Nothobranchius furzeri: one gene and its partner. The protein of the gene in region 2 purifies or fractionates together with the protein of the main gene of each other region. This does not show direct contact. Links are inferred from orthologs where the notes say so. Each region holds a gene or a part of one and is shown on either strand. Other genes may lie near its edges.

Region 1 (4,600 bases), on a different chromosome or scaffold from region 2:
ACAAACACAACACTGACACGGTAAATGAGGAGAAGACACAATGGAGGCATGGATGTGATCAGATCAGTGTGAGAAGCAGGGGGATTTATGTCAACCCAATTTCTTCTAAGACACTACGTGGGGCCTCTGCTTCCTGTAAGAGTAAAGAGAAAGTATCAGGACACCTGTCACACATTTTATACATAAAAATATCAGCGTTAGCCACAAAGTCAACACAAGCTTTAACTTGCAAAGAAGACAGCTTTCAGGCACACGGTGATGTGGTGTTTAGGAAATGATCGTACCTCCTGCAATAAGTCGGCTTGCTCGATGGCCTTCAGCACATTCTTTTTGGATGTTTCCTGGGCCTCTCCGCCCAGCAAGAACTCATCCAGGATAAAATAGGCCTTCTCAAAGTTGAAGATAATATCAAGCTCACACACCTATAGGACAAAAGCACCATATAAAAAAACTACAGAAGGTCAGGGAAGATTCCATCTTTGCAGCTTCTCAGCACTACAAATGTGTAATATTTGCAAAACTCACGCTGCCAAAATATTTGTCCAGAAGCTCCACGTATCTATGGATGATTTCCAGGGTGATCAACTCGTTATCTTGATCCTCAACGGCGCAACAGAAGTACAGACTGGCATATCTATTTATGTATGAAGAGAGCAGACATGCAAAGATCAATAATAGCAAAAAGGGTGGGACAGCATTTGTATTTTCACAACTTACATGCATGTTTGTAATTGTTAATAAAATGAAATCCTAAAACGGTTTCTCACATGATCCTCTATGGCACAAATCAAGCAGCTGGATTCCTTACAAACATGTCCAGATGCGGCCACATGACTCCCATCCTGAATAGCACTGGCTTCCAATCTGTTTCCGAGTTCAGTTACATGTTTTAACTTTTGTGTGTGATGGCTGTAATGGTACAGCTCCCCCTTTAGAGCTGATCCTGTCCTATGTCTCCTCCACATCTTTGAGGTCTGCAGATCACCTGCTCCTGTGTGTCCCTAAATTGCACTACAAGTCTCAGGAGCAAGTAGGGCTGGGCGATATGGCCTCAAATCTATATTGCGATATAATCTGAAGCATGTGCGGTAACGATATATATTGCAATATTTTTTTCCCCTCTGTTAATACATGTCAAATTGACATGCTTTTAAATATCCTCATGTGACAAATATATGCCACTTGAGGCATATAGGCCTCCTCCTCCGCAATATCGCGGTATTGCGATATAGCCAAAAACACTATCATTAGCCAATTTTTTATCATTTCTACCTGATATCGTTTATATTGCCCACCCCTAGGAGCAAGTCTAATTTGCCAATCCTAAACTCTAAATTCACTCGTTACATGTATGGCAGGCCCCATTAATAGCCCGTTTTAAGTCTGTTCTTAAGGCCCACTTTTATCATTTATCTTTTGGTCAGTAATTAGGTTTTTCATCTTTTACCATCTGCCGTGTATGTGTGTTTTATTGGATTATGTTTTGCTGCTCACGTGTCTTCATTATTGTGTTTTTGCTTTTCAAAGCCCCTCCTCTTTTAACCTCCTTGTTCATGTGGTGCATTGTTTTAGATATTATACCTTGCTGTGTTTCTATCAACTAGATGTGATGCCGTAATGTCAGACATTGTTGTCTGTCCTGTAACTACGGAGCATCCTTGTTCCTTTGTGAAGTACTTTGGTCAGCTGTCACGATGTTTTTAAATGTGCCATTTACATAAACACGGTATGTATGAGCTACTTTAGCCAACTTTTTCTAGACTATTTCTGAATTTGCTGATGAAGATGCAGTTTTTAAAATAAATCTATAAATATTTTAACATGGCAACAAGTAACAATAAGCATCCAGTTGAAAAGACTTTATTCTCACATTAATGTTTATATAAATTAGCTGTAGTGAAAATCATAGAGAAACGTTTTTGTTTTTGCAGGTCTCACTAAATTGATGTGAAAAAGCCTGTAAGTGAATATTTTAAGCAGATTATGGTCAATTTGAGGAAAAACAGAAGTGTGTGCATGCATCATCAAGTGTGAGGGTACTTGAATGCCCTCTAAAACTTTTAACTTACCTTTTGTACACAATCTTGAGGTCTCTCCATTCCAAGAAGCTGCACATCTTGGGCTTCCTGGCCAGAATGGTCTGGACCAGGTCTCTCGAGATCTTCTTCCTCTCCTTGTCAGACAGAGGAACATACCATTTCTGTAACCGCAGCTTCCCCTGCCGGCTGAACAACAGCATGAACTGCATCTGAGGAAGGAATAATGATGGTCGACATGTAGATACAAATAAATACGAAGAACAAAGGAAGACTGGATGTTTGAGGGTATATGGATGCGGGAAACTGAACTAATCACGCAGCAATGAACGTGAGGCAAAAAGTCAGTGAAATTAGATTTGACTGAACTGTTTACTAGGATACATGGAGGTACCATTCGATCAAACGACTTTTAGACTCAGTACATAACACACCCGTGAGGCTTTAACATAACGTTAGATTATCTCACGTTAGCTAAGGTCGCTTAATTGTCCTATTTTAACATCTAAACCACGTTTCGTGACATTTGCACCCCCTCCTGCGACGCCTGCTTAGCTACAGCAAACGAGACTGAATACTCATGACTTTTAATTTGGTCTGCAAAACAGTGACTTACACGAACTGAACTTCAGTACAGTAAAGTTAAAAATATTACCATAGAGAGCCAAAAGACACTTCTATCTGTCAGATGATTAGTTCCTCCTTCTGCTCGATGCTAAACTGCCTAGCGAATGCTGGGTGTGAGAACAAGCGCAGGGATTGGTCAACACAGCAAAGATTCTGCAATGTGATTGGTTGAAAGGTTCCGTTATTCCTTACGTTGTACGTCAATCCAGAAAACATTTTTGTATCAGAGGTGCTGAATTTCACTTCCACCAGAAACCTAAATGTGTTATTTTAAAAACAACAAGAAACAACCAAACACACAAGGAAGCGAAGACTTTTTTTAGAGTTAAGCAGCTACATAGATGCGCCCACAGTAATTTCCTATTAATGAGTAAAGTAAAATTAACAGTTGTGAGGGGCAGAGTCTCTCTCTCTCTCTCTCTCTCTCTCTCTCTCTCTCTCTCTCTCTCTCTCTCTCTCTCTCTCTCTCTCTCTCTCTCTCTCTCTCTCTCTCTCTCTCTCTCTCTCACACACACACACACGCTCGCACATTGGTTTTCTTTTCAGATTCTTCAATTGTAAAACCGACCTCTGCTGGACTTTCGTCGCCCTCAAGTGGCTGGCTGTGGTATTACAAAACAACAAAAGTCTTCAAAAACGTGTCATGGTTGTTTTTCTAATGTTTGTGTTAAAATGTTTCACTTAAAATATGTCTCTATTTCGGCTCTAAACAAATAATAGTAAAGATAATTTTGCATATAATAAGAACTATTCGAAGAGAATTTTCATAAAGAAAGTCTCGCAACTTCAATGTACAACAACAACAATCCAAAAACACTTTGATTAGAATATACTTTATTGATCGCACAGTGGGGAAATTCACTTGCTACAGCAGCGCACACACTTGGAGAAAAAGGAAGAAAACAAATAATAACAAGATTACAGGTAAACACACAAACGCAATAAGCTGTTATTGAATACTTCATCCACTAAAAACAATGAATAAAAATGAAAATTGTGTTTCCAGAACTATACAGCACAAAGGACACAGACATATTAAAGAGCAAGTCACCCCCTACCAGAGTATTACTCCACTCCCACTTCCAGTTTGAAAAATGCTACAAATGCTGTTGCCTAGCAGACTGAAAGGGCGGAGCCACCAACAAATATACACACATACATTTCACACAAATCTGTTAAAAACAGGGTCATTGGCCCAGGTTAATGGTTATGTGATCTGATGGAAAAAACATATTTTAATATGATGATGTCAAATAAATGAATTTACTCAGTAAGGTCCTGACTTTTGAATGAGCAAGAATGATCTTTAGCTTGTTCTGTTGCAGGTTATTTAGAGTCATTACAATTTAAAAATCCTATTGAACTTTTCGTGGAGCTCAATTTAACCATAAAGTTATCCACAAAACACAATCATACGATGCTAAAAATTTCAAAGAATAAAAGTCACAATTACTGTTGTGCAAAATTACAGCATCAGTATCATGAAAGATAAATCAAATAAATAACCAAATAAATAACGTAATATAAAGAAGTGATGAAATAAATAAAATGTATTTTTCATCATCAATATGATTATTATCATATATATTCAGTGCTTTGTAAAATAACATACCCTTGATTTTTACAGATTTTCACACCTTACAACCTTGTGAATGTTTTTATTGACATTTTCTTAAATAGACCAACACAAAGTAGCATGGAACTGTGATGTGGAATACAACTGATGCATTGTTTTCAAAATTTGAAGAAAATCTAAATATCTTAAGTATGGCATGCATTTCTAACAACCTGATAGCCATAAATAAAATCTAGTGCATTGAAGGAGTGGCGGGGTGCCTGATCGATGACATGCTTCTGTAATTAATCATCTACTGTACACATGCATGAACAGCTGTTAACAAAACATGCATCTTACTTTGATTCATAATAAAGAGATT
Region 2 (3,819 bases):
TCCCAAAACTACAGGAAAGAAATAAACCAAATGAGTGTGTCTCCAGCTGTGAGTTTCTGACTGAAATCAGAGCAGCAGGTAGGATTTTTTTGTCATTAACCTATTCTTGTTGAACTGGATTGCAAAATCATTCATGTGCTGCAGAGCCTTGTTGGTGAAAGACATGTCCATGTACATGTGTCCCTGACGACGAGAGAAGGTTCCGGAGATCTCCAGTCCCTTTGCTTTAGCTGCAGGAAGCCACACCTGTAAAAGCCACCACACAAGTCACCTCTACCATTTAATGAAACGTACACCTCTGGGATTAGGTTGTGTTCACTCACTGCTTTTTGCGGTATGTAGCCTCCGGTGGTGGTGGCCATGCCCGTGGAGAGTTCGAACAGGTCATTGAGGCCGCTGCTGCTGACAGCTGGAGGTGCGGGTGTGGGAGATGGAGCAAACGTACTGGGGACAGATGAAGGGATGAAGTTTTGCCCCACCTAAAAAAAATCACACAAGAACAGAAACAAAAAATAAACACATTTTAATTAGCAATTTTTTGGATGAAGCACCTCTGGCAAGTTTGATTAATAAAAACTGCTAAAAGCTCATTAAACAAATCCCACACAGAACCTTAAAGCAGCAATCTGGAGTTTTCCCTCCTTTCAGGAATTATGTAAGATTTTTTTTTTTTAGAAATCTGTAGAAGTGATATTCTTACTCTGATACAATGTAGGTAATACAATTTTTGGGTAAGCCCTTCCCCCGTCCCATAGAGACCCATGGAATTTGAATTGAGCACTGCTTAGCACTAGCCAATAGCGTGACCCCGGGTTTCCACGGGAGCCGTCAGCAGCACGTTACTGCAGCAGCACGTCTTGCTCGCGTAAACTGCTGCTTGGCCCTTCCCACGAGACGCGAAGCAGCAGGGGAGCAGCTGTCACCGACCGAGCACGAAGTCACACGAGTGACTTTGTCAGTAAACACAACAACAAGCAGGAGAAAACTACAACATGGTTTGTGTTTTATGTTCTGTCCGTTTTATAATCGCCAATACTGACCTGAAAAACAAAGGAGACCGCTAGCTAGGTGATAACTTCTCACGGGGACGCACTGTTAGTAACCTTTTTTAAAAGTAAAGCAACCGGAAAGCAGTACGTTCTTTATTCTGAAAATCTCGGTAGATTCTCTCCATTTCCGTGTCCGATTTCCTGTCTTTCCTTCCCCAAAAATGTCGAACTTGACCCGTTTCAGAGGCGTCACGCGTAGAAAATAGAACCGGCGCGTAAAGGCCGCGACATGCTGCTCCTGAGACGCGGCCGACTCGCGCTGCCGACGGCTCCAGTGGAAAAGGTTCTGTTGACCACAGCAGTTCCTATCAGCAGCTATGACGTGCTGCTGCAGTAACGTGCTGCTGACGGCTCCTGTGGAAAGCCGGGGTGAGACATCCACTTACCTACAGATGTCAATCACAGAGCGTGCGAGAGTGAGAGGATATCCCTAGACAGATGCAGAGTTGGCACTACTTACAGTTAAACAGTATATAGTAAAGTCTACTGGTTGTGCAGCACCAGGCTAAAGACCAAAGGTGACAGATCATCTGCTGCTGTGGCCCCCAGACTCTGGAACTCTCTCCCCCTGAGCCTGAGATCAGTGGACTCAGTGGTCTCCTTTAAAAAGCAGCTGAAGACTCACTTGTTCAAGCTGGCATTTGTATAACCTTCTTCACCACTCTCTCTTTATTCTGCTCTCCCCACCTATTCCACCTTCCTCAGGATCCACTGATTTCCCTCTTTCCTGTTCACTCTCTCTCTCTCTCTTTCTTTACATTTTTTTAATCACAATTGCCTATTTTTGCTCATTTTAATATATTTTAAACAATTTCTAAATGCTTATTTATATTTTTACATTTTTTGTTTTTGTGAAGCGCCTCGTGATTTTTATCTTGAGAGGCGCTATAGAAATGGTATTTTCTTCTTCTTCTACTTCTTCTATATATTCTGCCTCTAGATGGTGCACTATGAGGAAAAGCTCCAGATTTCTGCTTTAATGCTCAGAAGGAAGGAGGAATGTTATTATGAGAAGCTAATGCTACTTAGAACAAAAACCAGGCAGGTAACAAAGAACGGTGTGTGTGTGTGTGTGTGTGTGTGTTTTAGCCCATTTCCTGCAGAACTATTGGCACCCGAGGCTAAATCACTAGAGCTCATTAAATTAGATTTTCAGAAAAGTTCAATTATTAATATATTGTGGATTAAAACAAAAATTATAAACAAAACAGAACATGATTAAGATAACCCAGCTATTCATACACATGGAAGCAGCTAAATCAAAAGGCTTAAAGTCGGGAAGGAACCGCTCAGCTCCTGTTGCTGTTTTTTATGTTTTATGTAACAATTACATGAATTTCTGAAACCAAATATGCTTTTTTTTTTTTTTTTTTTTAATAAAATTTTGTCCACGAACTAGACTAGAACATTAATTAGATGGATTCTCCTGTAATGGGTTAATTCATTTTCATTACCAGTAAATGGGCTGAAACATTACAAGCATGCATGTAAGTGTGTCATCCACAAAAAGCTGAAGGTGTCAGCTTAAGAGTGTGATGATGACTATATTCAGGACGCGTGCAGCATGCAGACGGTCAAACAGAAGGTCTCCACTTACTGCTGGACTTCCCCCAACACCTCCGCCCAGGTCTCCTCCCAGCTACAGCCCCCCAAACATCGCAGACACACCGAACACACAAACAAAAACAGAGAGAGACTTTCTTAGCGACCAATCAAAAGGAACCTCTCACTGCGTTCTGGGAAAATACTAAATCTCTGATGCATCTATAAAAAATACTCTGGAAGACATTTAGATTGCAGCCTGAAACAAGCTGGTGTGAGAAGAAATTTCTGAATATTATTAAATTATAATTATCTACAGTAGATATTAACTCATATATAAGAAGTGTTACACCAGATATTTTTATTTTAAAACTGAAGGACTAAGCAGTAATAACTACTACTAGTGTTTCCTCCTCCAGCGGACAGTGTGTGTTCATTACTGTATTTCTAACAAAACCAGGCTGTTGCTGATGTGTCATTTGAATTTGAAAAGACAAATGTCTAATTATCTGGATTCACTGTAAAAATCAGCATGAGCTCACCAGACTATCCAGGCCTCCACCCAGAAGATCCACCGCACCCATCTGCATGGAGGACACTTGGGGAACATTGACTGGAGGGCCCAGGTCCAGGTTCAGCAGGTCACCCAGTAAGTCTCCCTGACTGGGGATCACGTGTGGCTGATCCATGGCAGTGGCCGGCCCACCGCTCACGGGGCTCTCACCTGTGTCGATGCTGTTAACAGGAGAAAGGAGCAGACAGACAACCTAAAATCACTTATTTACGATAAGATTCAAAACTAAAACTCCAACTTCCTACAGTCAAAGTAGGACATAATTCACATATAATGGCCAATACAACAACAAAGTACTGTGGCTCTAAGCAAATGCTGTGAAAAGAACTTTTTCTTTAAGTTTTTATTGGAAACCTGGATTTCCTGTTCTGCAGATCAATTAGTGAAGCAGATGTAATATTAATACGGACTGAAGAGCTCCTGCGTTTAGATTGCTCCTTGAATTAAAAAAGCAGGGACCAACATGTTGAAAGTTCTCCAGAGATGTCATAATATTTTTGAATCCTTAAGTACATAAACCGTTTTAAGGTGTGGAGGCAGAGATGTCCAGAAAACTGGATCAGTGTTTTTAAAGCTCCCTCATCGTTGAACAAAGTTAAAATGCTTTCTGGTGAATAATACGAGGCGCATGGATGTGTGATGTATATGCTCAGT

Evidence for each region.
Region 1: the proteins of AP-1 complex subunit beta-1 (region 2) and AP-1 complex subunit sigma-2 purify together in Homo sapiens (affinity purification with mass spectrometry; 3 studies listed by BioGRID and IntAct, counting the BioPlex papers as one, with this or other methods). This does not show direct contact. The link is inferred for Nothobranchius furzeri from reciprocal best matches to the Homo sapiens genes AP2B1 and AP1S2.

What each region holds. Positions count from the first base shown.
Region 1 is NC_091749.1:41,411,644-41,416,243, reverse strand, and holds the start of AP-1 complex subunit sigma-2, read right to left. Parts: upstream 2,802-4,600; 5' UTR 2,695-2,801; coding exon 2,692-2,694; intron 2,249-2,691; coding exon 2,070-2,248; intron 635-2,069; coding exon 526-634; intron 423-525; coding exon 285-422; intron 134-284; coding exon 86-133; 3' UTR 1-85. UniProt on the Homo sapiens protein: Subunit of clathrin-associated adaptor protein complex 1 that plays a role in protein sorting in the late-Golgi/trans-Golgi network (TGN) and/or endosomes.
Region 2 is NC_091750.1:66,899,415-66,903,233, reverse strand, and holds part of AP-1 complex subunit beta-1, read right to left. Parts: intron 3,327-3,819; coding exon 3,134-3,326; intron 2,689-3,133; coding exon 2,647-2,688; intron 480-2,646; coding exon 324-479; intron 247-323; coding exon 101-246; intron 9-100; coding exon 1-8. UniProt on the Homo sapiens protein: Component of the adaptor protein complex 2 (AP-2). Adaptor protein complexes function in protein transport via transport vesicles in different membrane traffic pathways.